Cricetulus griseus: one gene and its partners. The protein of the gene in region 4 interacts with the protein of the main gene of each other region in a pairwise test. Links are inferred from orthologs where the notes say so. Each region holds a gene or a part of one and is shown on either strand. Other genes may lie near its edges. The genes, in order: Gpr25, Slc38a1, Syngr1, Fate1, Bnip3, Timmdc1 and Slc7a1.

What was found.
Region 1: the proteins of Fate1 (region 4) and Gpr25 interact in binary tests that used the Homo sapiens proteins (3 or more experiments, as listed by UniProt). The two-hybrid records come from large-scale screens. The link is inferred for Cricetulus griseus from reciprocal best matches to the Homo sapiens genes FATE1 and GPR25.
Region 2: the proteins of Fate1 (region 4) and Slc38a1 interact in binary tests that used the Homo sapiens proteins (3 or more experiments, as listed by UniProt). The two-hybrid records come from large-scale screens. The link is inferred for Cricetulus griseus from reciprocal best matches to the Homo sapiens genes FATE1 and SLC38A1.
Region 3: the proteins of Fate1 (region 4) and Syngr1 interact in binary tests that used the Homo sapiens proteins (3 or more experiments, as listed by UniProt). The two-hybrid records come from large-scale screens. The link is inferred for Cricetulus griseus from reciprocal best matches to the Homo sapiens genes FATE1 and SYNGR1.
Region 5: the proteins of Fate1 (region 4) and Bnip3 interact in binary tests that used the Homo sapiens proteins (3 or more experiments, as listed by UniProt). The two-hybrid records come from large-scale screens. The link is inferred for Cricetulus griseus from reciprocal best matches to the Homo sapiens genes FATE1 and BNIP3.
Region 6: the proteins of Fate1 (region 4) and Timmdc1 interact in binary tests that used the Homo sapiens proteins (3 or more experiments, as listed by UniProt). The two-hybrid records come from large-scale screens. The link is inferred for Cricetulus griseus from reciprocal best matches to the Homo sapiens genes FATE1 and TIMMDC1.
Region 7: the proteins of Fate1 (region 4) and Slc7a1 interact in binary tests that used the Homo sapiens proteins (3 or more experiments, as listed by UniProt). The two-hybrid records come from large-scale screens. The link is inferred for Cricetulus griseus from reciprocal best matches to the Homo sapiens genes FATE1 and SLC7A1.

Annotation. Positions count from the first base shown.
Region 1 is NC_048598.1:53,014,992-53,017,760, reverse strand, and holds Gpr25 (probable G-protein coupled receptor 25), read right to left. Parts: upstream 1,584-2,769; coding exon 501-1,583; downstream 1-500. UniProt on the Homo sapiens protein: Orphan receptor.
Region 2 is NC_048595.1:393,090,570-393,094,069, reverse strand, and holds part of Slc38a1 (sodium-coupled neutral amino acid transporter 1), read left to right. Parts: coding exon 1-21; intron 22-2,030; coding exon 2,031-2,089; intron 2,090-2,204; coding exon 2,205-2,315; intron 2,316-3,500. UniProt on the Homo sapiens protein: Symporter that cotransports short-chain neutral amino acids and sodium ions from the extraccellular to the intracellular side of the cell membrane. The transport is elctrogenic, pH dependent and driven by the Na(+) electrochemical gradient.
Region 3 is NC_048595.1:377,245,434-377,249,404, reverse strand, and holds the start of Syngr1 (synaptogyrin-1), read right to left. Parts: upstream 2,801-3,971; 5' UTR 2,745-2,800; coding exon 2,646-2,744; intron 1-2,645. UniProt on the Homo sapiens protein: May play a role in regulated exocytosis. Modulates the localization of synaptophysin/SYP into synaptic-like microvesicles and may therefore play a role in synaptic-like microvesicle formation and/or maturation.
Region 4 is NC_048604.1:3,690,889-3,695,119, forward strand, and holds the start of Fate1 (fetal and adult testis-expressed transcript protein), read right to left. Parts: upstream 2,801-4,231; coding exon 2,695-2,800; intron 2,200-2,694; coding exon 2,072-2,199; intron 1,149-2,071; coding exon 1,042-1,148; intron 745-1,041; coding exon 669-744; intron 297-668; coding exon 165-296; 3' UTR 1-164. UniProt on the Homo sapiens protein: Involved in the regulation of endoplasmic reticulum (ER)-mitochondria coupling. Negatively regulates the ER-mitochondria distance and Ca(2+) transfer from ER to mitochondria possibly implicating it in the regulation of apoptosis.
Region 5 is NC_048596.1:62,077,188-62,080,687, reverse strand, and holds part of Bnip3 (BCL2/adenovirus E1B 19 kDa protein-interacting protein 3), read right to left. Parts: intron 1,064-3,500; coding exon 916-1,063; intron 312-915; coding exon 230-311; intron 1-229. UniProt on the Homo sapiens protein: Apoptosis-inducing protein that can overcome BCL2 suppression. May play a role in repartitioning calcium between the two major intracellular calcium stores in association with BCL2.
Region 6 is NC_048597.1:51,620,900-51,624,831, forward strand, and holds the start of Timmdc1 (complex I assembly factor TIMMDC1, mitochondrial), read left to right. Parts: upstream 1-1,132; 5' UTR 1,133-1,256; coding exon 1,257-1,450; intron 1,451-3,932.
Region 7 is NC_048597.1:84,248,643-84,252,625, forward strand, and holds the start of Slc7a1 (high affinity cationic amino acid transporter 1), read right to left. Parts: upstream 2,801-3,983; 5' UTR 2,669-2,800; intron 1-2,668. UniProt on the Homo sapiens protein: High-affinity, low capacity permease involved in the transport of the cationic amino acids (arginine, lysine and ornithine) in non-hepatic tissues.

The DNA of each region.
Region 1 (2,769 bases), on a different chromosome or scaffold from region 4:
TTCAGGCAATACAGCTTCGAAGATGACCAGAGCGAAGAGAGCTGTCACTCCTCTCATTCTACCGAACATTTTTGAGGTGGCATTGCTAGAGGACTGGCACGGAGAAAAAAATTTCTCAGAGGGCAAAGGCTTTTGCAGGAGCAAGAATAGTCAGGGACAAGAAGGGCCTTTTAGAGTCTGGGTTGGAAGTTTGGGTTGAGCTACTAAATGAAGCAGAGAGGAAAACCCGCTTCCCTCACATCTAGAGCAGAACCAGCTCTTCTCCAGGTGGGTGTTTACAGCCTTTCTTGCCCTGGGGAAAATTAAGGAAACACGCCCACCCTTCCCACACCAATTGGCCTGCCTTCGAGAACAGCCAGTCTTAGCAGCCAGCTCTGAGAAAGCTGATGGACAGTCCCCGGGGCGCATCTGGGAGCACCGTCCCCCTCGTCTCTCTGGAGCTCCGTCCCCTCTCGTCTCTCTCTGGAACTCCGCGGCCCGGCCGCTTCATCTGCACCAGGCTACCAGGCAGAAGCAGAGTTCACCTTTGGGGACCGACCCCAGAACACCGAGCTGTCATCCCTGGAGAGCGAGGACGCTGAGCTGATCCTGCGCACCTGGCGCCCGGCGCGCGTGCACACCCCGAACCTGGCCCGGGCGCGGAACGAGCGGTCCAGCAGGAGGTAGATGACCGGGTTCGCACAGCTGTTGACAAAAGCCAGGCAGGTGGCGATAGCCAGACCCCAGCGCAGCGCCAGCAGCAGCTCGCAGGGCAGCGGCAGCGCCCGGAGGCGCGCCAGGTGGAAGATGGCGCGCAGGACGCCGAAGGGCAGCCAGGAGCCCACGAAGACGCTCTCCACGGCGAAGATGATGCGCAGCGAATTGCTCCGGGCCCTCCCCACGCGCGGCAGGCGGCGCGACACGCGGCAGTAGCAGGCCAGGGTGACAGCCAGCGGCAGCGCCAAGGTCAGCAGCAGCAGCAGGAGGCCGAGGCCCTGGAGCGCATCCGACGGCTCTTCGGCGCACTGGCTACCCACGCCGTCGGGGCTGGGCTGCAGCCCGCGGTACAGCAAGGCGGGCAGAGCGGCCAGGAACGCCGCAGTCCAGGCGCCGCAGCACGCGGCTCGCACACAGCACGGGTTCCGCAGTGGCCGCGCGCTAAGCGGCCGGCCCACAGCCAGGTAGCGGTCCATGCTCATGCCAGCCAGCAGCAGCGCACCCGCGCAGCGTGTGGCCGCCAGCGCGAAGCTACTGAGTTTGCACAGGCCGTCGCCGAAGGGCCAGAGGCCGCCCCTGGCCTCCGCCGCGGCCCACAGTGGCAGTGTGAGCACAAAGCCCAGGTCGGCGGTAGCAAGATGCAACACGAAGGTGTCCACCAGCCGCCGGGGCCCGCGCTGCCCGCTCAGCAGCCACACCACGAAGGCGTTGCCTGGCAGACCCACGGCGAAGGCCGCCAGGTAGAGCGCAGGGATGATGGCGTGGCCATAGGGCAGGTCCCAGGCCGGGCAAAGCTCTATTGGATCCAGGGAGCCAGAGCCCGAATAGTAGTAATAGTCCCAGGACGTCGTGCCCCAGCTGTGGCTCCAGGCCTCGGTGAACTGCATGGCTAGGGTCACTGGACCTGCGTGCACCCTGGAGCAGTGCAGTTCTCTCTGAGCAGAAGGGAGTTTGCTTTTCACGGCCAGTGCCCAGCACCTCCCTTCCTGCCACCCCAGGCCGAGGTGAAGGGGTGAGCAGGAAGGTGGAGGGGGAGAAGAGTGTGGGCCGGGAGGGGCAGACCTCTGTGGTGGAAATGGTGGCTTCCAAGTTGGGGCTGGACTGGTAACTGTGAGGAGATGTCCTTAGGGCTGGGAGACCTGTGGCCACTCAGTGTTGATGGCTCATCACTTCTGGGTGCTTGGCCTATTATCTGGGCCAGGGGGGGTTTAATATGGGGTTCAAGGGGCAATGAGTGCCCTAGAACTCTAACCTGTTCTCGGTTCTCACCAGGAGTTGCTTTTGTTTCCTAGTGTTTAGAGGGGAGGAGACAGACCAGGCACAAAGGGCTTCTAAAGGAGGACAATGCCTCATCTTCTGTCTCTAATTTGTTCTGCTGGGTAGCATACAGAGGAGGCCTAGAGGTTGAGGCAGCCTCTAATGATTCCTGATTAAGAATTGCCTCCTCCCCTCTCCCCTGCAAACTCTTAGACCAAAAGGTCTAGGTGTGTCACCTGGAGCGGCACTTCTGCTCTGGTTCAGAGCAGTGCAGAAGGGTTAACGCTAGAGAGGGAAGTCCTAGTTGGAGTCCCCTGCTGGAAAGGGCCCAGGTTCCTGGGTTAACCCTCTTCCGTCCCTATCCTTCAAAACCTTGCTGGTAAGTCAAACAGGGGCCTAACCTCTTACAAAAGATGACCCAAAATGGCCCCTAACAAAACAACAGATTTGCTATTCTAAATCGTGAGGTAGGAACTCAGAGACCCCTTGTGAACATAGGGGAAGGAGAAGGTTCGTGGATAAAGGTGTGCAAGATGTCAACTTGCATGGGATAGCAAGAGGAGGGGCAAGGGTGGCTGAGGGAAGACGTGCTTTCTATTCAAGGAGCTACACACAAATTCTTAACACAGATCCATCCCTTGACAGGCTGTGTTGGAACTAATGTTAACAATGCCTTCCCAGAGTCACTTCTGCTGTCACCAAGAATGAGTGACTGATGCATTGAGCAACCCTGGAAATTGGGGGGGGGGGGACTGGATTGTCAGTTTTGTTCCTTTCCATTCCATTAACAGTGACTTCTTCATGTGGCAGGCATTG
Region 2 (3,500 bases), on a different chromosome or scaffold from region 4:
TATGTCTCTTGAAGAACCTAGGTGAGCAAAGACCTGACCTTTATCTCAGGCTCTCTCTAGTTCCAGATGAATCAGGAACATTAGAAAATGAACACCATCTGAAAAAAAAAGAAAGAAAGAAAATGAACACCTTTGCCTGCCTTCATTAGGATAATGACAAGATAAATCATAAATTGCAATTATTAATGAGGCCTGATCTTAATGTGAGATTAAAGACATGATGTGATTTTCTAAGAAGTCCCTGCACAATGCCAGAGCTGGAAGGACAGCGGTTCTGGGACTGGAATAGACTCTTACTGTTTTCAATAGCATAGCGTACAGGCTGCTGTAAGAAAAGTCCAGAAAATGGAATTCTCCTGTAAAGTTCTGTTCTTTTTTTGTTTCATGGTGTTGGGGATCAGATCCAGGGCTTTGTGCAGGCTACCCAAGTCCTCTACTACTGAGTGACACCCCTACCTACATCCTGTGAATCCAGACACAGGGTCTCCCTAATTCTTAACCTCAGGATCTCTCCACTTTGGCTCCTTTGTAGTGTCTAAAATTCTGATCATTCATACTCAGACATTCCAAATCTGCTAGCAAGGCAGCACAGAGGTGTTACGAATCACACTTCAGTTTAGAGTGTAGCCAGTCTCGGTGACTTCACCCATCAAAGGAAAAAAGAGAGAAATTTAAAGTTAAAAAAAAAAAAGGCAGATGATCTCCAAGTCATCCATTTGGTCTTGACATTTGTTTTTATGCTTATATTTGGAGACAGGCGTGCCTGGAGTTACTGGGATTTCATACACTGAATAATGAGGCCAGATTGCCATCTCCAAACGTTCCGAGATGCACTTTTAAAATCTGGGCTAATTCAAGGCAAATGTTTGGATTGAAGTTCTCTCAAAAATAATTATGAATCGTAGGAGGTTTTGATTATTTTTTTGTCTTAGTTTAGCTAAGATATCTGAGAGCTGCATGGTAGCTATGAAGTTTACAAGTAGATTTTTCTTAACTACTTATTTTTGTGCTCTCTGTATTTCTGTGGGCTTTTCTGACCCTCCAGTTAGTATAGAGAATGGTCCTTTCCCGGAGTGTAAGAATAATGTAGTTCACGGGAGTATATCTGTCATTATGGAGATTGTGGTGACCACCTTTCTAGTATTCCAAGAGGAGTAAGGCCCACAAATGCTCTATTTAGGTGGTTCTCAACCTGTGGGCCACTCACGATCCCTTTGTGGGGGCAGTGCCGAAGAACCCTTCAGGTCACCTAAGATCATTGGAAAGCACAGATATTTACATTATGATTCACAATGGTAGCAAAATGACAGTTACGAAGTAGCAACGCAAATAATTTCATGCTGGAGGAAGGTCCCCACCCCATGAGGAACTATGATAAAGGAAGCCTTAGGAAGGTTGAGAACCACTGCTCTGTTTATTCCTTGAAGCTTACATTGACTTGTGTTGGCCTCTCATTGAGAGAGAGTTTATCAGTAACATTGAGGATTTCCACAGTAGATGCTCAAGAAAGAGCTTCGGTTTAACACTAGAGTGCACCAACACAGAGACATGGTCAAAGCCAGGAGGCTCCTTCCTAGATTCTGAGATCTGTGTCCTAGAATGTGCCAAGGATGTCTGGAATCAAAACACCAAATATGCTTTTACTAAAAGCCCTACTATCACTATTATTATTTTGCCAAATAAAATAGCACTAAAAAATAAAATATCTTGTTTTCTTTTTCTTTTCTTTTTTCTTTTTTTTTTTCTTTTGGTTGTCAGAGACAGGGATTCTCTGTGTAGCTTTTGTACACCAGGCTGGCCGAGAACTCTCAGAGATCTGCCTGCCTCTGCCTCTCAAGTGCTGGGACTAAGGGCATGCGCCACCAACACCCAGCTGATATATCTTGTTTTCATATGGACACATGGTCATATCGTGAAGTCCCAAACATGCTTGAAGTAATATGTACACGTAATTGATACTTTTAATACTAATGATGAATATTAATAATTACATTAATAAAATGCTAATTGATTGTTTTCTTTTTTAAAAGGGTACCTTGGCTACACTAGTGGATTTTCCTTGAGCTGCATGGTTTTTTTCCTAATAGTGGTAAGTTCTGATTGAAGCAATTGCTGTGGTTTTTATGTTCAAAGCTCTGTAATAGTTGTTCATGTTTTGGCTTTAATTCAGTCTCTCTTGATTCTCCTGTGTTTCTCAATACCAGGTTATCTACAAGAAATTTCAAATCTCATGCATGAGTATAGAACAAAACTCAACAATAAGTGCCAATGTCACTGACATGTGTACGCCAAAATACGTCACCTTCAACTCAAAGGTGAGTTTACTTGTTTAAGGGCACTACTCCTTTTGCTTGTTGTAATCACCTGTCTGGAGATACTCATCTCTAAAAGGAGGCACAGCATTGTTCCTCTGTAATTTACAATCCATTCATACCTCTTTAGAAACACACAACACTGTTGTGCATACACTCATGCTCACATAGTCACACCCTTTATCTGGCTTAGGTCAACTTTCATATTCTTGTGACCATCTCTCCAGATAGTTGTCTCCACATTTCTCTTCCTGTGTGGCATGCTGATTGGTGCTCTGATTAATCACGCCCTCAGGCCACTGCTGCTATGTGGAGGTGGCAGAGGAAACACTCCAAAATGGCACTTTAAAGACGTTTGTACTGTTGGGATTTGGTTGGCAGCTTGGAAGACAGTAGTGGCCTATGTAGTCAGTCACACAGGTTGGAATCATCAGGGGGCTTTCAACTGCCATGTAAAAATGATGGTCCTACCTTTGTATCTCGGGTCCCAGTTGGAAGGTGCTTGGTACAGTTAAAGAAGCTATGTGACCTCCCCTTTCTTTCTCTCAGACTTTTTTTTCTTTCTTTCTTTTTTAGGTCTTTTTTTTATATAAAAAGATGGGTTTGAGCTGGGTGTGGTGGTGTACCCCTTTAATCCCACAACTCAGGAGGCAGAGGCAGGGGGATCTTTCTGAGTTTGAGGCCTGCCTGGTCTACAGAGAGAGTTCCATGACAGCCATGGTGCTTACACAGAGAAACTTTGTCTCAAAAAAAAAAAAAAAAATCCCCCAAGAAAATTAACAGATGTCTTTCTTTATTGATTCTAAAAATTCAGCCAAAGTAGTAAGCTGTGGAACTAATTTTTTTTCTAAATGCAATCTTTTTTTTTTTGTTTTATTTGTTTTTTGAGATAGGGTCTCACTATGCAGCCCTGGGTGTCCTGGAGCTTGCCTTGCAGACTAGGCTGGCCTTGAACTCAGTTCCCTTTGGTTCCAGAGTATAGGGATTAAAGGTGTGCATCACCGTGCTCAACTTAGATATCATCTTTCTAAGTGTGCAGTGGGCAAGTCACCTCAGTTATTGATGGATGTCAGAGAATAGCAATGCCCTGCCCTCTGCTGTCATTTGCATTCGGGTTCTGTGTACCTGGCTAGTCCAGCACAAATACAGTGAAGGTGTGCTGGGATACTTGATGCTCACCATGGGAAC
Region 3 (3,971 bases), on a different chromosome or scaffold from region 4:
GCTGGGACCATAGCTGTGGTGTGGTGGAGTCCTGGGTACCAGCTGCTTGTACAGGATTGAATGACCTGGGAATCTGGGGTTATGATAAGCCAGGAAAGTTCCAGTAAACCCAAACAAATCACTCCCCTTAGATCCAGACAGAGCGCAGGCTCCCTTAACTACATGGGGAAGTCTGCTGCTGCCAGACCCCACAGTAGATGAGAGACAGCATTGGGGCCCCATATCTGATGAGAGAGGGCATTGGGGGCCCACTCCAGAATTTGTTAAGCTGTCTCTACATACCACAGACTATTAGAAAAGATGGGATGGAAAGAACATGGCATGATGTGAAATTTACCCTCTCTCATTCTTTCTTTCCCTTGTTTTCCTTCAGGGCTGAGGTTGGAGACAAGGGCCTTACACTTGCTGGGCAAGTGGTCTGCCACTAAGCACACCCGCGCAAGCCCATCTTCATCCTTTCTAAGGGTATATTTCTTTTTTTTTTTTTTTTTTTTGGTTTTTCGAGACAGGGTTTCTCTGTGGTTTGGAGCCTATCCTGGAACTAGCTCTCCGTAGACCAGGCTGGCCTCGAACTCACAGAGATCCTCCTGCCTCTGCCTCCCGAGTGCTGGGATTAAAGGCGTGCGCCACCAATACCCAGCCTAAGGGTATATTTCAATAGTATTATATATAACATGTTGTCCAATCACCATGAATGATTTTTGTGCTTTCCAATAACCAGCAGGCATTACTTTAATGATCAGATAAGGGGGAAAAATGTTTTTACTTCTTTTTAGACAGACTCATGTAGCCTAGACTAGCCTTGAACTCTTGATCCTCCTGCCTCTACGTCTGAGATTTTAGAAACATTTTTCTCCAGCCTATAGTACATGCCTTTGCTAAAAGTATAAGGCACTTGGAATCCAGATGCATGAGCCGGGCTGTGACGTCATGAAGTCCTTTGGGCTGGAATTGAACTTGATCACCTTTACATCCTTTCCAATCTGGAAACTACAGGATTTGCAGTCTCCCCTGCACCAGAAACCCAGGTCTTTAGTGACAAGACTTTGGATTCAAATGCTTGTGAGTGCTAGGCTAGATTAATTAGTTTTTCCCTCCTGCTCAGCATTTCCTCCTTTCACCCCAATGTATACAAGTGTAAGCCCTCTGCATCCCACTAGACCCAACATGACATCATCTCCATGAAGCACCTCTATTCCACAGCAGGGAGACCCTGTCCTGGCTCCCTCCCCAGTGAGACTGTGGGCTCCCTGAGCATCATGGGCTGAGCCTGAGTCATGCTGCCTTCCCTCTGGGCCTGGCAGACTCAATAAAGCTTTGCTAAATGAAGCCATCTCAGGTAGAAATGACCCAAGCAAAAAAAAAAAAAAAAAAAAAGTCCATACTCCTTCACAAAGCTTGTGCTTCCACCTCCCAGTCAGGTGCCCCAGAGGTCAGAGGAAGCGGCACCTAGCCAACCCACCCCACCAGGATTCCCACTTTACCCAGGGTCTCCAGGGACTTCTGCAACTTGGGGAGCGCCAAGAATGAATAAATTCAGTGTCACAAAACCTCATGGATGTATCTGGGCTGCATGGCCAGAAACAAGGCTTCCTATAAGGAGGACATTTAAACATTTCCTAAGACCATCAGATCCTGACAGGGCCCTGAAAACCAAGAAAGGCACCTCAGCAAGCCTAGGTCACAGCTGACTTTAATCACAAAGGCCAAGGGTCCCTGACCTGTGTCACCAATCCAGGCTCTTCTGGTCTTAGCCCTTTAGGAGGGAGCCCCAGATATGCAGAGGCAAAACCCTCCTCCATGAAGCCAGACAATCCCAGAGGGCACCAGTGCCCACAGGCCTCCTCTCCCTCAGGTGCAAAGCCCCCAGACCGCCTCACTTCAAGCTGTTTTTGCCCCACCCCCCAGGTTTGAGCTGAGTCCCACTTAGCTCTGGGGGTCCTGCACCGACTAGGTGGGCAGAAGATTTCGACCAGACCGACCTCCTCCCTGCTCTCCACTGCGTGGAAGGGACCTTTCTCCAGGCAATACCTAGGCGCCACTCAGGAGTATGCTGGGGTTGGGAGTGGGAGTATTGTCGATTCATAAAATGTCAGAGCTCAAGGGGGCCTCTCCCAACCCTGTAAATCGAGAAACTAAGGCATGACAGAAGAGGTGACGCTCCCCACCCAGCTCAGAACTGAATCCCTCCTCGTTTCCCTGATTTTTCTTGGGTGGTTCCCTGCCCAAGGTCACGCGACGAAGCAGATGCGGGTCTCGGCGAAACCCTGGTATCCTGCTCCAGACTCAGCGCTTCCAGCGAGCCGGGTGAGCAACAAAACCTGGTTCCAGGTCCTCGCCCCGAACGCGCGCGGCAGGTGCGGCGGTGCGCCCTAGCGAGAAGATCCACGCCCTGATCCGCGCCCCCCAAAAGCGGCCTTGAACCCCGGCTCCGTCCCCACGGACGCGCGCGAGCCAAGCCGCTAGCTGCAAAGCAGCGACTGCCTGGAGGTCACGGCGATAGGACTGAGGAACTCAGCAGCAGGGGCCGGGAAAGCAGCGTGCGGCCGGGATCCCCTGCACTGGCTGGGCCGCCGGTCCCGGCCAGGTGAGGTCGCGCCGGTCTCCGGCACCCCGAGCCCCAGCCAGCCTTGCTACGTCCTTACCCAAGACACGACGCGCAGGATAGTGTGTGGCTGCCGCACCAGGGTGTAAGGGTCGAAGGCGCCCCCGGCTTTGCCCGCTCCGTACGCACCCCCTTCCATCGTGGCTGCACCGCGCGGCGCCCCCCGCTCGGCGCGCACCGCCGACCCGTGCGCGTGCGCGGCGCCTCCGCCCCCTCTCCTGCGCGCGGCTGGTGTGGATGGGGGCTTCCGCCAGGGGGCGTTCGTGCACGGCAGGCGAAGCTCGGAGCGCGTGCTATGGTGGGGGTCTCGGTGCCGGGCGCGCACCTCGCCAGCGGGATGACCTCTGCAAAGTGGCACGGAGTAGGGGTGTGGACAGAGAGTGCAGATGCGTCCCCGCCTTCGGGAGCCCTCCGAGCTGTAGCTCTTCTGGAAACCCTCTTCGTTATTTGTTTGTTTATTTATTTGCTTCTCTCCTGTCGCTGTCTGTCCCAAATAGAGTGAAGGGGCTCTAGTTTGACCGTACGTGGCTCATTGAACGAGCTGCTGAATCGCTGGTTTCAGGAATGATCCCCTCTAAGGGACCTGCAGAGCCTCTGGCCCCCAGAATCACCTTGCCTCCTCGCTCCACCGATGACGTCATGCATGCGCACCCCCATCTGGAGGGACCTGTAAGAAAGGCAAAGGCTGGGGGGGACGGAACACCACAGACCTTGTGAGATTCCATTCCCTCTCCACCACAGGTCCTTGTGCCTCTTTCCTTAATCCAGTAGTTAATTATGTATTTTATTTCTTATTACTGTCTCTCTGCTTGTCTGTGGACTCCAGCTGGTCAAGTTAGGTATTGTTTGCTATATCCAAGGCCTCACAAACAGTTGGTGGTCAATAAATACAGCCTAGTCCTCATGTCATCCTCCCTCTCCCACCCCACCCCCCAAATCCCAACACAGTTTGACCTAAGGGCTCCAGGGTTTGTTTGTTTATTTTTGAAACAATCTCTTGTAGTCTAGGCTGGCTTCTGGAACTCATCATGCCATATGGAGGGAGTTGATTTTGAACTTCCAATCCTCCTGCTTCTTCCCAACTATGGTGTTTCAGGTCTGTGTTACTATACCCCTCTGTAATGGTATAGAGAAATCTTTTTTTTTTTTAAAGAATTTATTTATTTATTATGTATACAGTATTCTGCCTTCATGTATGCCTGCATGCCAGAAGAGGTCACAAGATCTCATTACAGATGGTTGTGAGACACCATGTGGTTACTGGGAATTGAACTCAGGACCTCTGGAAGAACAGTCACTGCTCTTAACCTCTGAGCCATCTCTCCAGCCTAATGAGAAATCTTTGAGGCAACGATTATACTATGAT
Region 4 (4,231 bases):
GAGCGTATCTCCAGGCAGAAGGCCCAAGCAGAGGGGTAAAATGACCCAACTGCTACCTGGGGGGCTGCTGGGAGATAGAATGGCGTGGATAAGGGCATCCTTGAAAGCAAAGGGAAGACGAAAGAAAGGAATGGCTCTAATGGGGTTGTGGTGTTTGTGAAACTTTACTGACGCATCCAAAGCCACAGGTTGGCTATGCAGACTGAGACCAGCAAACTAAAGAGCACAGCCTCCTTATGGCGCCACGTGGCATCCTGGTCCTCAAGGGCACGCAGCCGCCCAGAAATCACTTGCATCTGTGGAAGGACCAAACACAGGACTTGTGAGCAGGAATCACTCTTATGAGAAAGGCAAGACATAAGGGTAGGGGGAAAATATGACCAAAACCAAAATGAATCTTTGTTCCCCCTTCCACATCCTTTTCTCTTCCCCAATTCCTGTCCAGCATCTCCAGCATAAAGGAAAGTCAAGGGTGAACATCAACATGAGGTACTCAAGGCATGAGGCCTGAGAAGAACAGAAAGGAGAGCCCAACCTCACTTCATTTGCTACAGGATATGATTTGGACAAAGGCTATGAAAACTCGGGGGTGGCTTTGTTCACAACTGCCAAAATCACCCACTCCAAAGCACTATGATGCTTCCTCCAACTATACAACAGATGCTTACCTGCCTTCTCATGACTTCCATCTCCAGCCCATTGAGTTCTTCCAGGCCAATCTCTGCCACTAAATCTGCCTCCAGACTGTTGGAAGGAAAGGTTACATGGCTCAGAGGTGTTGGTGGCCATAGAAAAGACACAGAGCAATAAGGTATGCCTGAAGGCTTTTTGGATAAAGATCCCAGTCCTTCCCTTGTGTAGTAAAGAAGCCGGAGGCTTTGCCAAAGCATACGTAGATCCCAAATGGCCAGGAGGCAATAGTATCCCAATACTTCAAGTATATACATCTGCTTCTCGACTCGGATGCTCACTAGTCCCTATGGCCCTACCCTCTGCTTGTTCCTCCCCCAGTAGCTAGGAACAAGACAATTGAACTCTTACCGCTCATAAGGGACCCTCCCTGTTTGGAAGTTGCCAGGAAACTCCTGGAGATAGCCATCCACCTGACTGTGATCTCTTGGCATCCGGGGCATCTGCACCTGATGACCCTACAGAAAGAAAGGATACACCATTCCAAGTCACCCTTTTAGCACCGCATTGTGCATGAATCAACAGTACACCCCATAGGAGCCCCATGATGTCATTTCATCTTCCTGTGCCCCCCCCCACACACACACCATGCCTATTGGTAGCTTCTAGCCTTGTGTGCTGTGCCAAGGAAAATGCAGTGACAGGCTTCTCTGTCTTTTGGTAGAACTTTTACATGCAGGCATCCCTTGAAAACCCAAGCTACCTACTGAAGATGAATGTAAACCTTCAAGATGATTTTAAGTAATTTAAAAGAAAACATCATTTCACACCTTGGAAGTTTATAAAGAATTGTATAGTCATCCCTTGGTATCCATGGAGACTGTTTCTAGAATAAACGCCTCACTATGGTTATGCAGCTCTGCAGATTCCCAAGTTGCTTGTGTAAAAGGTCATAATATTAGAATATAGCATAATCATATCTTTTTATATAATTGAAATAATTACTATATTATTTATAATGTCTAATAAAATGTAAATGCCATCTAAGTAATTCTTATACTATATTGTGTAGATAATCATTGCAAGAAAAACATCTTGCATGTATTCTCTAGAGATGTAATCACTCCACCTCCACCCACAGACAGTGTCCATCTGTGATCGATTGAGCCAATGGATGCAAGACCTAGGAATGTAGAGGGTCAACTATAGATGCATTTTCCAGTCAACATGTTTGCTAGGCATGCAGACTTCTAGCATTGAAGTCCCAGCATTATACAGTACAACCCTAACCTTCCAATGATCTACCCTTCATTCATTTGCTTTATTGGTATATGGAAGCTTCCTCCTCCTAATGATCAACTTCTAGCTATATCTACCATGGGAATACAGGAGCCCCAAAGTAAGAACTTCCCACCCTAAACTAGCCACCATTTGTCAATACCCCTTTCTTGGGACGAGGTCCAGTCACATTCCAAAATGACTGGCCTGAACCAGATCCAGCAGGTTTTTGCTCTGCCCTTGGACGTCTTTGGATTCCTCCCAGTGACCGGGACCCACGTTCCATCATTTCTAGAAAGAAGAACAGAGACTGCTATGAATACTGCTTTAAAGGTTTTACCAGAACTTTCTGGGTACTGAAAACAGCAGAAATCACTCAATACCCATTCACTTCTGATGCTCAGCCTATTTGTCCATCTGTTCAACAGGTCAGTATGTATTTACTGAAAATCTGGCCCTGGGCCTAGGATTCTGTAGCATGAGCAATGATCAAGAGATGAAATCCCAAACACAAACCATCTCTATGTATGAGAGAATAGGAAATACCAATAATAAAATCTTCCATCCATGTAAATTCAGATATGTAAATGGTTCATGAATGATTAAAAACCAAAACAAGCTAATATGGCAAAAGAAAAGCATAAATCAACACTGAAATACCTAAAACAAACGAATAACCTTCCAGACTAAGTAAACAGCATGCACAATGACTGGGATGTTGTAGAAGCAGCACAAGTAAACGCACATGATTAACTATACCCAACAGGCTTTTTAGGGGATTCTCACCTGACATCACTGGTTGTTCTTGGCTTTGGTCAAAGTTTCCAGTCCCTAGATCTTCAGAAATGGACATTTTATACCCTTCTTTGACATTGGAAGGGCTTTCTGCCATCACCACCAGGTATTCATTTGTAAGGTTGTTCAGGGTGGATGGCACAGAGAAGACACTTGGAAGCTCGCCTCTTCCAGGGGTAGAAATGTGAGGGAGATATACTGGCACAAGAGGGTGGAGCCAGTTCTCCCTCTCTGTGCTCAGGCCTTGGATTGGCACCTTGAGTTCCCACTGTATCTTGTTGGTGGGTCTCGTGGCCGCCTTCTCTTCTGCTGTGTAAGCAACTTGGAGATGAGATAGTGCTCTAAGTGGTACTGTTTTTGTGAGCTGCCCTGATTCATCTCCCCTTGATTTTGCTACTCACGGGTAGGAGGATCCCATCCTCCATCATGGTCTAGAAAGAGACAAGGGCTGGCATACGGCCCAAGCATCCATAAGTGCCCAAAGCAGTGACAGGTCCCATGCTTATCATGGTTTCTACAAGCCCATGACTGGCCAGTAATCTAGGGTACAGCACTCTATCAGAGGAGCTTCTCTGTACAGAACATCCTGCCTCCTCCAATGCAGAGTCTTCAAGCAAAGTAGATGGCCTTGTCTGATATGAATCCTGGGAAGGAAGCAGGGAGGGGCAAGAGGGACATGCTGGGCTTGTGTACCCTGCTGTATGTTTCAGCTCTGCCTCAGTTTTTCTACAGATTAGACCAGATGTATGTGTCAATTTAGTCAGGTTCTGATCCCCAGTGAGTTTATCAGACACTCAACTCTCAGTATTTCTGCAAAGGTATACTGCAGCTGTGATTATTATCCCTAATGGACTTTAAATAAAATGGCTTCCTCCCAGTCAGGTGCTTGTACTCAACCAATGTGCTGAAAGAATCAAGTGCAAACCTTAAGGAATGGGTCAGTGAGTGGGATGACCCCATGCCCCAAGGTTCCCAGAGAATGAGGGAAACCTGCCACCACAGCCTGCCCTGTCAGGGTGCTGAGAGGCATTGGAACAGCTTCCATAGGCTCACGCCGTCCCGGCGCTCTTGGGCCTTGGACTCAGCACTCCCAAGATGATACAGACAGATCCAGATAAAGAAAAACCTCTAAAGGTTTACACTGCATTTAAAAATATATGTAGGCTTGTGAGAGAAAAAATAACAGGAGGAAATAGAGTAGCTGGGTGTGGTGGCTCACGCCGGTAGGATTTGCTGAAGGAAGCAGAGGCAGGCAGATTTCCACAGAGAAACCCTGTCTCAGAAAAAATAAACGAAAGATAGTAAAAATAAAGTAATAAAAAAGCCACATAAAGACGGAAAATACACAGAGAATCTGGATACTATATGCCATATTGTTCTCTTTAAATTGTTTGATTGCCAAGGAAAGACTTACTGCTGCTAAAATACATTTGATTATAAATGCTGCTAAATTAATCCAACTTATACATTTCAAAAATGTTCTAACTTCAAAATTTAAGATTAAGGACAGGGTACTTAGAAATAAAGG
Region 5 (3,500 bases), on a different chromosome or scaffold from region 4:
CACGTAAAATGCCAAGCACAGTGTAACACTTCTCAGCCTTGGGAGGCTGAGGTAGGAGGATTACTAGGGCTAACTTGCCAGGTGATCTAGCCAAATTGGTAAGCTCCATGTTAAATGAGAGACTCTCAAAATCTAAAGGGGAGCAAAGGTGTGTGTGTGTGATACCATGTAAAAGTCACTAGACTGATGATATGCTGAACTTTATAGCATGCTCCTACCTATGGCTTACCAGAGTGCTGTTTTTCTCTCCAAAGCTGTGGCTGTCTGTTTCAGCTCTGTTGATATCTTGTGGTGTCTGGGATCGAGGTGGACTTGATTAGGAATCGAACAAAACAGAGCAGCATGTTAATTCTGTCATAGCAAGCATAAATCCCAAGCAGGGCTATTGCCTCAGTAATGGGGGAGGTAGAGGACTCTTAGAAGCATGCCTCTTCCCCTGTGCCTAACACCAGAACAGGGCCAAACAATGAGCATAGGGAGCCAGCTACAGTTCTGAGGGACGCTCCACCCTCCTGCATGATCTGCTGCATAGCCCTCAGAAACATCTGACCTTCGATCACTGACTCTCAGCACACACCTTGGATTCACTCCCTAGTAGTGCTGCCTAGGAACACAAGCCAGCTGGGGGTCATGAACAAAACTACCCAGACTTGGTGTTCACACTGAATAGTTTCAAAACAGAGGCAGTATATTAAGGAACTTTTTTATTTGCCCCTAGGTTTAACATGGTCCCTCTAAACTGAGCCCCAGACCACTTCATCCCAGCAGACTCCAGGGTTCCTTATATCAAGGCTGCTTCCAGAGTTATTCTCAAATGTGGCCTTAGACCTGGAGGCCCACCCACAAAAGCATGCACAACTGCTATTATCCATCTGCTGAAACATCAACACTGTAGAAGACATCCAGCAAACCTACCTGTCACAGTGAGAACTCTTGGAGCTACTTCGTCCAGATTCATGCTGGGCATCTAGCAGTATTTTTTCCATGTCACCATTATAAATAGAGACGGAGGCTGGTACACTGCTCCCATTCCCATTGCTGAAGTGCAGTTCTACCCAGGAGCCTGAAGAAAACAAAAAGGGCAGTTAGAAATCTACCTACTCAGTCAAGCGGTGATGGTAGACACCTTTTTAATCCCAGCACTCGGGAGGCAGAGGCAGGCAGATTTCTGTGAGTTCAAGGCTGGCCTGATCTACAAAGTTACTCAGAGAAACCCTCTTTAAAAAAAAAAAAAAAAAAAAAAAAAAACCGCACAAAGAAAGAAATCTACCCACCAGCCTTGAGGTCATTTTGTGATGAGGAATGTTCTTCTGTGTATGTTTCTCTTATTAGTTAATGAATAAAACACTGATTGACCAGACAGGAAGTGACAAAGCTGGGCAGAATCCGGATATAAGCAGGGACAAACAGGAAATATCTCTCTTTCTGTGGAGATGCTAAGCAGTCATCATGTAGCAGGCAAAGGAGTTGCAGGTCCATCCCCAGCAAGAAAAGACCATGTGGAAATACATGGATTAATAGAAATGGGTCAGTAATTAAGGCAGAGCTAGCCAATAAGAAGCCCTAGCCAACGGCCAACAATTTCATAATTAATATAGTGTCTAGTGTCCGTGTGCTTCTTTGGGGGCAGAGAAGGGCAGTGGGACCTGCCTAGCCAAGAATTTCATGTTACAAGTTTGTGCTACAAAGATCCGAGAAACCAGGGGGGGGGGGCACACACCTTTTGTCCCAGGGCTTGGGAGGCAGAGGTAGGAGGACCTCTGTGAATTCAAGACTAGCCTGGTCTATACAAGTTCAAGACTACAGTTCAAGCCAGGATTACAGAGTCCCTATCTTGGGCCAGACAATGATAGGGCATACCTTTAATCCCAGCACTCAGATAGCAGAGTCAGGTGGATCTAAGTTCCAAGACAGCCTGGTCTATAAAGCAAATTCCAGGACAGCCAGGACTGTTACACAGAGAAACCCTGTCTCAACACACACAAGGGAGGGAGGCAAGGAGGGAAATGGATCCACTTATAATCTGAGTTGGAGATATAGCTCAAAGGTAGAGATTATAAAAGGCCCTAGGTTTCAATCTCCAGTACCAAAAGGGAGAGAAAAGGCAAGAGGATCACTTCAAGTTCAAGGCCACATGGGCTACATCAAGCAAGACTTTGTTTCTAAACCACAAACCCCCACAAATTTCCAAAAAGAAAAAGGAACTATGCATGGTGGCAGGTACCTATAACCCAATAGAGAGAAGAGGATTTAAGAGTTCAGAGTCAGGGGGCTCAGAGGTTAAGAGCACTGGCTGCTCTTCATGAAGACCCAGTTCAATTCCCAGCACCCACATGGCAGCTCGCAACTGCCTGTAACTCCGGTTCTAGGGTATTTGATACCCTTACACAGTATATACAAGCAAAACACCAATGTACATTAAATAAATAAATGTTAAAAAAAGAGATGAGGGCCACCTTCAGCTACCAGTTTAAAGAAATCTGTGACCTGTGCTACATGTGACCAACAATATCCCCTTAAAAAGCCAGGCATGATGGGGGCATACCTGAAATCCCAGAATTCAAGAGAAAGAAGTAAGTTTGAGGCCAGTCTGTTACACAGAGCCAGTACCAGGTCAGCCAAAGGTACATAGTGAGTCTCCAAAGCAGAACACACATTCACGGTCGCTGGAAGCAAGAACACTATACAGCTTCCAGAACCCCAAAAAGAAGTGCTTTAACACTCAGAAACACCTGGCCAGTGTACTTGTTGCAGAATAGGTCACAAGGGGAGGGAGCTCAGAAATAAATTGGATTTACAGTTTATACCATCAACAGCCTCTCAGTAAGCTAAAAAATGATTATACAATACAAATTTGAAAATAAACACAATTTTCCTCATTAGCCCTCAGATTGACTCATGGAGAAGCAGGCATAGCCCACATGAAGCACAATACCAACTCAGAAGGGCAGAGTCCAGAGCCCTCTGTGGCTGTACACAAGCAGAGGCCCCAGTGCCCTCTGAGATCTGCAAATCCCCACACTCCAGTTCCAGACACACTAATTTCTTTTGCTGGCCTTCCTCCCTTCACTGGCTGATGATACTCAGAAGCCAGGGATGGTGGCTCATACCTAGAATCCCTGCAGTTCTGAGTCACTAAGGCAGGAATGTTGCTCTGAGTTCAAAGCCAGCCATGGGTAGTTCAGTTCCTTTTGTCTAGGCAGATCTAGTATTCAGAATCTGAGCCAGTTCCAATGTATATTATGAAGCTTAATGTTATCCAAATCTTTTCTGGTATCTAGCAAAGTTTGAGATTGTGTTATCTTCTTCCCAGCACCCACTCCTGATGGCAAATTTAGACTTTTCCCTACACCAACTACCAATTTTCCAAATTCAATCAGAGGAGTCTAAGAATTCAATTATATTCTGACAGTATCGCCTAAAATTAGTATCCAATCCCATAAATTAAAGGCTGAAACCCACAAGGATGCCCCATGTCAGACACCAGCCACAAGCAGAGT
Region 6 (3,932 bases), on a different chromosome or scaffold from region 4:
CATTGGCTATGGCTCTTCCAGAGGTCCTGAGTTCCAATTCCCAGCAACCACATGGTGGCTCACAGCCATCTATAGTGCGACCTGATGCCCTCCTCTGTCAGGCAGGTGTATGTGCAGATAGAGCAACATCTACATTAAAAAAAAAAAAAAAAAAAAAGTGTGTGTGTGCAAGAGTCCAGAATTGGGTGTATGGTGCTCTGGAGCTGGAGTACAGATGTTTGTGATATGCCTGGTATGTGCTGGGAATCATGCTGTGGTCTTGTGAAGCCCGGGTTGGCCGGCCTCATATATGACTCAATCGGGTCTTGAATCGTCCTTGGCTTCCTAAAGGTTGAAATTGCAGCGCCGCTTCATCCCGTGAGAGGGCATTCCAATGAAAACTAGACTTCGGAGCACATGTTAGCAGAAAATAACAGGAAATATCAGTACCAGATATTAAACGATAAAAGTTCCAGATGTTATGCCTTCTCGCATATTCTCGCAGTAAGCGTACGAATACTGTAGCGGAACCCACGCTAAGGAAAAAAAAAGATGCCCACAGCTGATGCTTCACAAAGCATCCTCAAATCTTGGAGCTCCTCAGGTGCGCCCTAATGTCGGGGGAAGGGTGGACTGTGCTCGGCCCACCAGAGCAGCGTGGTGGTGCACGGACTTCCACTTGCACTGGATAAACTACCGTCGCCTTCTGTGTGGCCTCTGTGCATCTCTTTTCTTTTCTTTTCTTTTTCGAGACAGGGTTTCTCTGTGTAGCTTTGGAGGCTGTCCTGGCACTTGCTCTGGAGACCAGGCTGGCCTCGAACTCACAGAGATCCACCTGCCTCTGCCTCCCGAGTGCTGGGATTAAAGGCGTGCGCCACCAACGCCCTGCGCCTTTGCGCATTTTAAACGATGCCACCTCACTACAGTCGTGAGCACTTCAGGCGGAACGGAGCCAGGCCCAGTAGACCGCACCGGCGGGGCGGAAACACCTCAGCACCTCACTGAAACGCCACCGCCGCCAACTCAGTTCCGGGGCGCGACTACCCGAAGCGGAAGGGCTTTCAGCCGGGGTCCGGCTGTCGTCCCTCCCCTCGGCCTTTTGCGCGACGAGGGCGGGACTTCCTGTCTCGTGCTTCCGAGTGCCTCCTGCAGCGAGCAGGCTGGCGACCGGAAGTGAGGTTCTGTGTCGCGAGCTCACCTCTGCTCGGCTCCGCAGGTCACCCTCTCCCGCGGCGCTCGCCAGCCCCTGCGTGTCTGTCCCCGGGTGGGAGGGCGCCATGGAGGCGCCGCCGCCCGCGCCCCGCGGCCTGCTTAGCCCGGCCTGGGGTCCTTTCTCCCGAGTCTTTGCTGCGGGTGCTGTGGCTGCGGATTCCCAAGACTTTGCGGAGCACCGGGAGCCGCATCCCTATGTCTCAGAGCCGGGTTCCCCGGAGTCCGGATGGGACCGCCTCCGGCAGCTGTTTGTCAAAGAGTAAACTTGCCTCGGGTGTGTGGGGAGGGTGACTCGGGGGTCCCCGCAGCGGGCCAGTGTCGCTCGCCGAACGTCCTCTCTGCCCTGGAGATAGCCGCCTCCCGTAGCTGCTCGACACGCTGGTTTTTTGAATCAGACTCATTCAAAGTCACGCTCTTAAAATAGCATCGTACTCCCAGTTTTATATATTAGAAAAGTTGAGTCAATCCGGTTATTGTCCTGTAGTGATCACCGGGAACTGTATTTGGAAGTCCACACTAGCATTCTTTGCATATTTCACTTGCTCTCAAGCTTTGGTCTGTCTTGGCCAGTCGTGGCCCAATATACCTCAAGTGGGAGCTGGGGAAGGGCAGAGAGAATTGTCAGTTTATTCTTATTTTGCACAAGGAACTGAACATTGTGACGACTGCTCTCCTTCCCTTCTCTGCTCTTTCCTACCTCTCTGCCCCCGTGTTCTCACCTCCGTTTTTAAAAATTGTGTATGTATATATGTGGTTGGGGGTGTGTGTACGTGAGTGCAGATGCCCTCGGGCCACAGGCATCAGATCCTGGTGAATTTGGGGTCACCTGTAGTTTCAAGTCAGCTGACATGATTCTGGGAACTGAACTCAGGTCCTTCTTAAGATCAGTACGTGATCTTAACTGCAGAGCCACCTCTTCACCCCGCCCCCCCCCATCTTTTTTGAGACAGGGTCTTGCTATGTAACCCTGGCTGTGTATGTAGACCAGTCTGGCCTGGATCCGGAAGCAACATCCCATTCTCAGCCTCCCAGATTCTGGGATCACAGGCCTGAGCCTCTCGGCCCAGCGGCTCTCTTTTGCCCTACTGGGGGATCAAACGTTAAGACCTCTTGAGCCCCAGGAGCTACCCTCCCAGATCTACCTCACTTGCCAGAAACTAGATATTAAAATAAACAATGTGAAGAGCAAATGATTAGCTCTTTGTATTACTTTCACCTAATATCTACCCTCATTTATTACTAGAGAAAGTTTATCATTTCTTGAAGTAATTTACCATACTACACTGTGTTATCAATTGAGTAAATAAGTTGGGCCAGATTTATATGTAATTATTCTATTACTTTTCTTTTTTATTTTGTCTTTTTAAAAATTATATTTCTTTATAATTATATCTCTATATGTGTATGGGTGTTTTGCTTGCATGTCTGCGTGTCCCATGTCTGATAATGTCAGATCTCCTGGAACTGGAGTTACAGACAATGTGAGCTGCTATGTGAATACTAGAAATGGATTCTGGGCCCTCTGCAAGAGCAGCACATGCTCTTAACCTCTGAGCCGTTGCTCCAGCCCCTCATCATCTTTGTTTTAGTACATAATATGTCAGATTTTTCTCAAAGGTCCTTCCAAAAGCTTGTATATTTTTGAATGATCTTCTGTAGTGTATATGAGATTTATTTTAGTTTTTGAGTCCTGGGAGTCTACCTGTGTTGTAAGCCATAATGACCTCTTGTTTCCATGTCTCAGTTGCTACTATGGCCCACAGGAGATAGTCGTTTTGATCATTATTACAAACCACAGAATATTGGAACTAAAGAAAGCTTGAAAAATAATGTTATGCGATTTTTATGCTCTTGTCCATGATGTGAAAGGGAAAACCAGGGTTCAGAGCGATAGATCTGGCTGCATGCTACAAAACAGATCCCAGATTACAACACTGTCCTATGTCTAGTTCCATCCTGTTACTTAGTCCTGTTACCTTTTCGCTATTCTTTAGCTGCTTGGACTGAGTTTGTGACATTTTAGAGTCTTTATTGTTTTTATATTTATTTAATTTTCTTTCTTGGAGGATTTTGAGATGGGGTCTCAGGTAGCCCATGTGTAGGTAAGAATGACCTGATCTTCTGCCTCCACCTTCCAAGTGCTGAGATCACAAGAGTGTACTGCACACTCAGTTTGAGCCTTTACGGCAGTAAAATTGAGGTAAATATTACCATCATTGAACTATTCAAAGGACTAAACAAAGAGGCAAAGTGTGGCTGTATTATACTTCAAGTCCCTTTACATTTTTTTTCTGAGTTTTACAGTAGATCAGTTTTTATGTAGATGAATTTTTAAAGTTCTGTTTAATATAAAATAAAATTTAAATTATAGCCACTTATGAATGTAAATGTAAGGATTTGTTTTCTAGAGTTTTAAGTTTTTTGTACATGAAGGAAGAGTATAGTGATTGAGAATCCCACACTTTCAAAAGAAAGCTAGCAATCTAAATACTGGTGCACATAGGGTCACTGTAAGAGTGCTGTATTGTTTAACTATTTTAAGAGTCTATCCTGGAAACTTCCTGGAAAACTTTGTAGTTTTTATGTATTGAGAGGCATAATTTGAATGAAACAGCTCTTCCTTATTTTAGATTGGCCTGTGCTGCCTATTACATAGTAAATTTTCTCAGTACTTTTTTTTCCCTTTTATGATTTTAAAGCTAGGCATGGAGGCATGTGCCTGCAGTGTCATCACTTGAGGT
Region 7 (3,983 bases), on a different chromosome or scaffold from region 4:
TCCCCTCAGGGCAGCACTTGCCCTCTCCTCACACAGAAATGCTAAGCCAATCTTACCTGATCTACTGCTAAAATTCATCCAGGCAATAGGCCAGGGGTGCAACTCGGTGATGGAGTAGCTAACATATGTTTAGCATGTTAGAGGCCCTAGTATTAGTCCCAAACACACACACCACCCTCCCACACCCACTCCCCACCTCCCCAGCCTCACATGTGGTTCAAAAGACCAAAAAAAGAAAACAATAAACAAAAACAAGGGCACTGGTTCTCAACCTGTGGGTCAGGATCCCTGGGGTCAAAGGACCCTGTCTTGTGTCAAATATTCTGCATATCAGATATTTACAGTGCAATTCATAACAGTAGCAAAATTACAGTTATGAAGTAGCAACAAAAATAATTTTATGGTTGGAGGTCACCACATGAGGAACTGTATTAAAAGGTGGCAGCAGTAGGAAGATTGAGAGCCACTCACTAAGGTGTTAACTACAGGTCCTGCCTGGAGTGGTGACTAAGAACTAGGTGAAATGACATTACAGGTGATGCCTGTGGGTGAGACGGCACAGATGTCTAGATGTCCCCAGGGTTACTGGACATTTCTTTCCCTAACAAGGACTTCCTTCTTCCCACTTCTCCCTAGTGTTAATAGACACCTCTATCTCCATGGTTAGTAAGGAGGAAGGTGCAGTTCACTGGGCATCTCACAACCATGCTGTTACTTGTTTTTACAGGGCTTAGTAAAAAGAGAACAGACTTAAACACCAATAAATAGACTTAAATACATCAGAAAATGTGATCTGTGGCCTACAAAATAACCCAGCTTGCCATGTGTCTGCTATGCAAGCCTGCAACCCAAGTTCGATCCCCAAGCCCCACATAAAGGTAAAAAAGAATGGGCTCCACATGTACAGTGGCACACACGTGCACATGTGCAGCTTGCGCACGCGCACACACTCACACGCATGCACACACACACACACACACACACACACACACACAAGAATAATAAATGAAAGCTGTTTTAAATTTTTAAATACTATCTGAGCTGGGGGTGTAGCTTGGTTGGTGAAGTGCCTGCCTGGTATGCAGGAGACCCTGGGTTGGATCTGGGGGTGAATGCCTGCAATCCCAGCATTTGGGAGGTAGAGGGAGGCAAGAGGATCAGAAGCTCAAGGTCATCTTTTGCTAAGTAGCAAGTTTAAGACCAGTCTGGCCTATATGAAGGGGGTGCGTGGCAGTGGGGTACAGGGTGAGGTGGGGGTGGAGAGATGACCATGTATCTTAGAAGAGAAATCCCTAATGGAATTAGGATTGTTTTCAGACCTTTAATAAATAGATAAATCTAAAACCAGCCACTGAGGTGTCTCTGTTTTCTATTTAACTCTTGTTCTGTTTGTTTATTTAAGCCCCCCTTATATGCCCTCTAAATTTCAGCCTTAGATAAAACATGATCTCAAAATGCTAAACTTTTCAAAGCTGTTTCAATCCACATGTTGGCTTTCCCCTAAATTTCTATTTGGGTCACATGACTTAAGCCCTTCGGTTTTGTTGACAAAAGGGCGTGCTCACATAAAAATAATAATTTCCATTGAGACCAACTAAAAATAACAGGGGGATGACTGTATCGTGGTTTCCTATTATCTTAACCACATATGAATGGCAAGAAATGTTAAAAAAAAAAATCCCAAGTAAATTACAAACTGACTCCATCACAGCTAGGATATGCAAATAGAAATAATGTTCGGGGTTCTAGTGCAACTTTACTCACCTTTAGGGAAAATATACCTATGTTTGAAATCCCAGCCCTGTCCTCCAGCACGTGAAAGTATAACCGTGGGTGCTGGGAAATGCAGTTTTTTTGTTTTGTTTTGTTTTGTTTTCCTGACGGCACATGTCAGGCTATCTCAACACGCCAGGAAGTGGACTGGAGAGAGCGATACTGGCACCAGGCTGCTCTGCGGACAAGCGTGGATGGTGACCTACCCGTGCCCAGGAAGTCTTCCACTACGCAGAGAGGAACACGCTGAGCACAGGTTGTCTATGGAGCCGGAAGAACTTCCTCCCACTCCACACCATCTGGAAGAACAGTCTGTGCAGGCCGAATCAGGTCACAAGGAAAACCCACCCGAAGAGTCCCTCCAAAGTCATCTCTGGGGACTACGGAAGCGACCCCGAGAGCGGGAATCCCAAGTCTCCGTTCACAGGGGACCGGCCTGGGGACCTGATGGAGTCCACCCTGCTCGCGGCTCGGCTGACGACACTGCCCGGGACCGCGTGGCGGGGCGGGGTGCCGCGCACCGCGCCATGTAAGGGAAGATCTCCCAGGCAGTGGCGGCTCCGGATGCCACCGGAGGCAGTCAGCGTAGACGAGTCCCCGCGCCCACGTGGAGCCCTTCACGGCCACGCGTGGCAAGAGTACCCGGGTCACCCGTGCTCACACCCCCTCGCTGTTGCATCATGCACCATGCCGTGCCTGCAAAGGACCAAGATGGACTCGGAAGAGGTGACCGGAACACGGGTGTGCGTCCCACGCACGTATCCCCGGAGATGGAGAGGTAAAGAAGAACCCTCGCCTCGCTTGAGCGGCCACGCCAGACCCTGGGTTCCCACACACAGAGAGGTGACCCAGGCTTTTAGAGCTTTCTGGACATTCACCCGAGTCGCGTACTCACCGAGAAGGCAACGGGATGCTGAGCTGGGTGGGGACCGCTGGTAAAGAACCGCTCACACCTGCTGGAGGAGGGGATGGCGCGCGCGGGAGGGATCCGAGCCGGTTTCATCAGCCGCGCGCCGCCCTCCGCGGGCCCCGCGGCCACGGCCAGTGTTGCGCGTCACCTTCTCGGCCACCAATGACAGCGCCGCGCGGCCGCGCCCCTGTGGGCGGGGACACCCGAAACCGGGCTTTCCCTGTCGCTTGTCCTTGGTCCCCAGAAGCTTCAAGCCTGCTTGGGCCAGAGTTGGTGGGTAACAGAGGCTGAGCTGTGCCAACCCCCACATGGAGAGCCATTGACAACTAACCTTACCAGGTTTCATGCTCCAAACTGGATGAGAGACACACTTTAAAGAAATTTTAGGACTTGGTTGTAAATCTTTTGTCGTTGGACTTCTTTACAATAATGCCCTAGTTAACGCCTCAGCCTCGCCCTTGTCAGGAAAGGCCCCAAAACCCCTCCCTTTGATATGGTACTTCCTCGCTAGGGCCAGTGGTGGCAGCTCACCCTGGAGGGACTCACCCCAGGCTTAGTACCCAAATCTCTTCTTCGCCTCCCAGACTCCTTCAGATCTCTGCTCCAAAATCAAGAACTACAGTCTATGGGGCTGAAGAGATGGTTCAGTGGTCAAGAGCGCGGACTGCTTTTCCAGTTCAATTCCCAGGACCCATATGGTGGCTCACAACTGTCTGTAACTCAAGCATATGATGCACGGACATATGCAGACAAAACACAAATACACAAAAAAAAGCTTTTAAAAATTAGATGCATATACATAAAGGCCCAATAATCATGGGACATGGGGTGAGGGGAACAGACCATATAAATACCGCCATGGCCTCGCAGTCTTCGTAGGAAAAAAAAGAGAAAAGGATGATATGTGTGTTCTTAAGCGTCCTTTATCAATAATGGGGGTCATTGTCAGCCACAGATATGATATTCCTGTGGAATTAACCAATGATTTATTAATTTATACTTCCCAGCAGACAGTTTTAATGAACACATAGAGGGAGGTCGATGACATAGGAACACTTTGAGCAGTGTTTGGAATTATAATAAGGCACCAAACACACGTTGTTTTAAAACAGCGAATGGAAAAATCACGCAGTGATGAAATGATATGACCGGTATGCCGATCTTGTAAGGAGGTCTCCTGAACTTTTGGAAGCCTTTATCAGCGGATCTCACTGTAAAGGGTATCCCAGTCTTCACAGAGGGAGAGCCTCTAATCTATCAGAGCCTGCCAGCTTTGCCTTCAGCATCCAATGAGAACTTG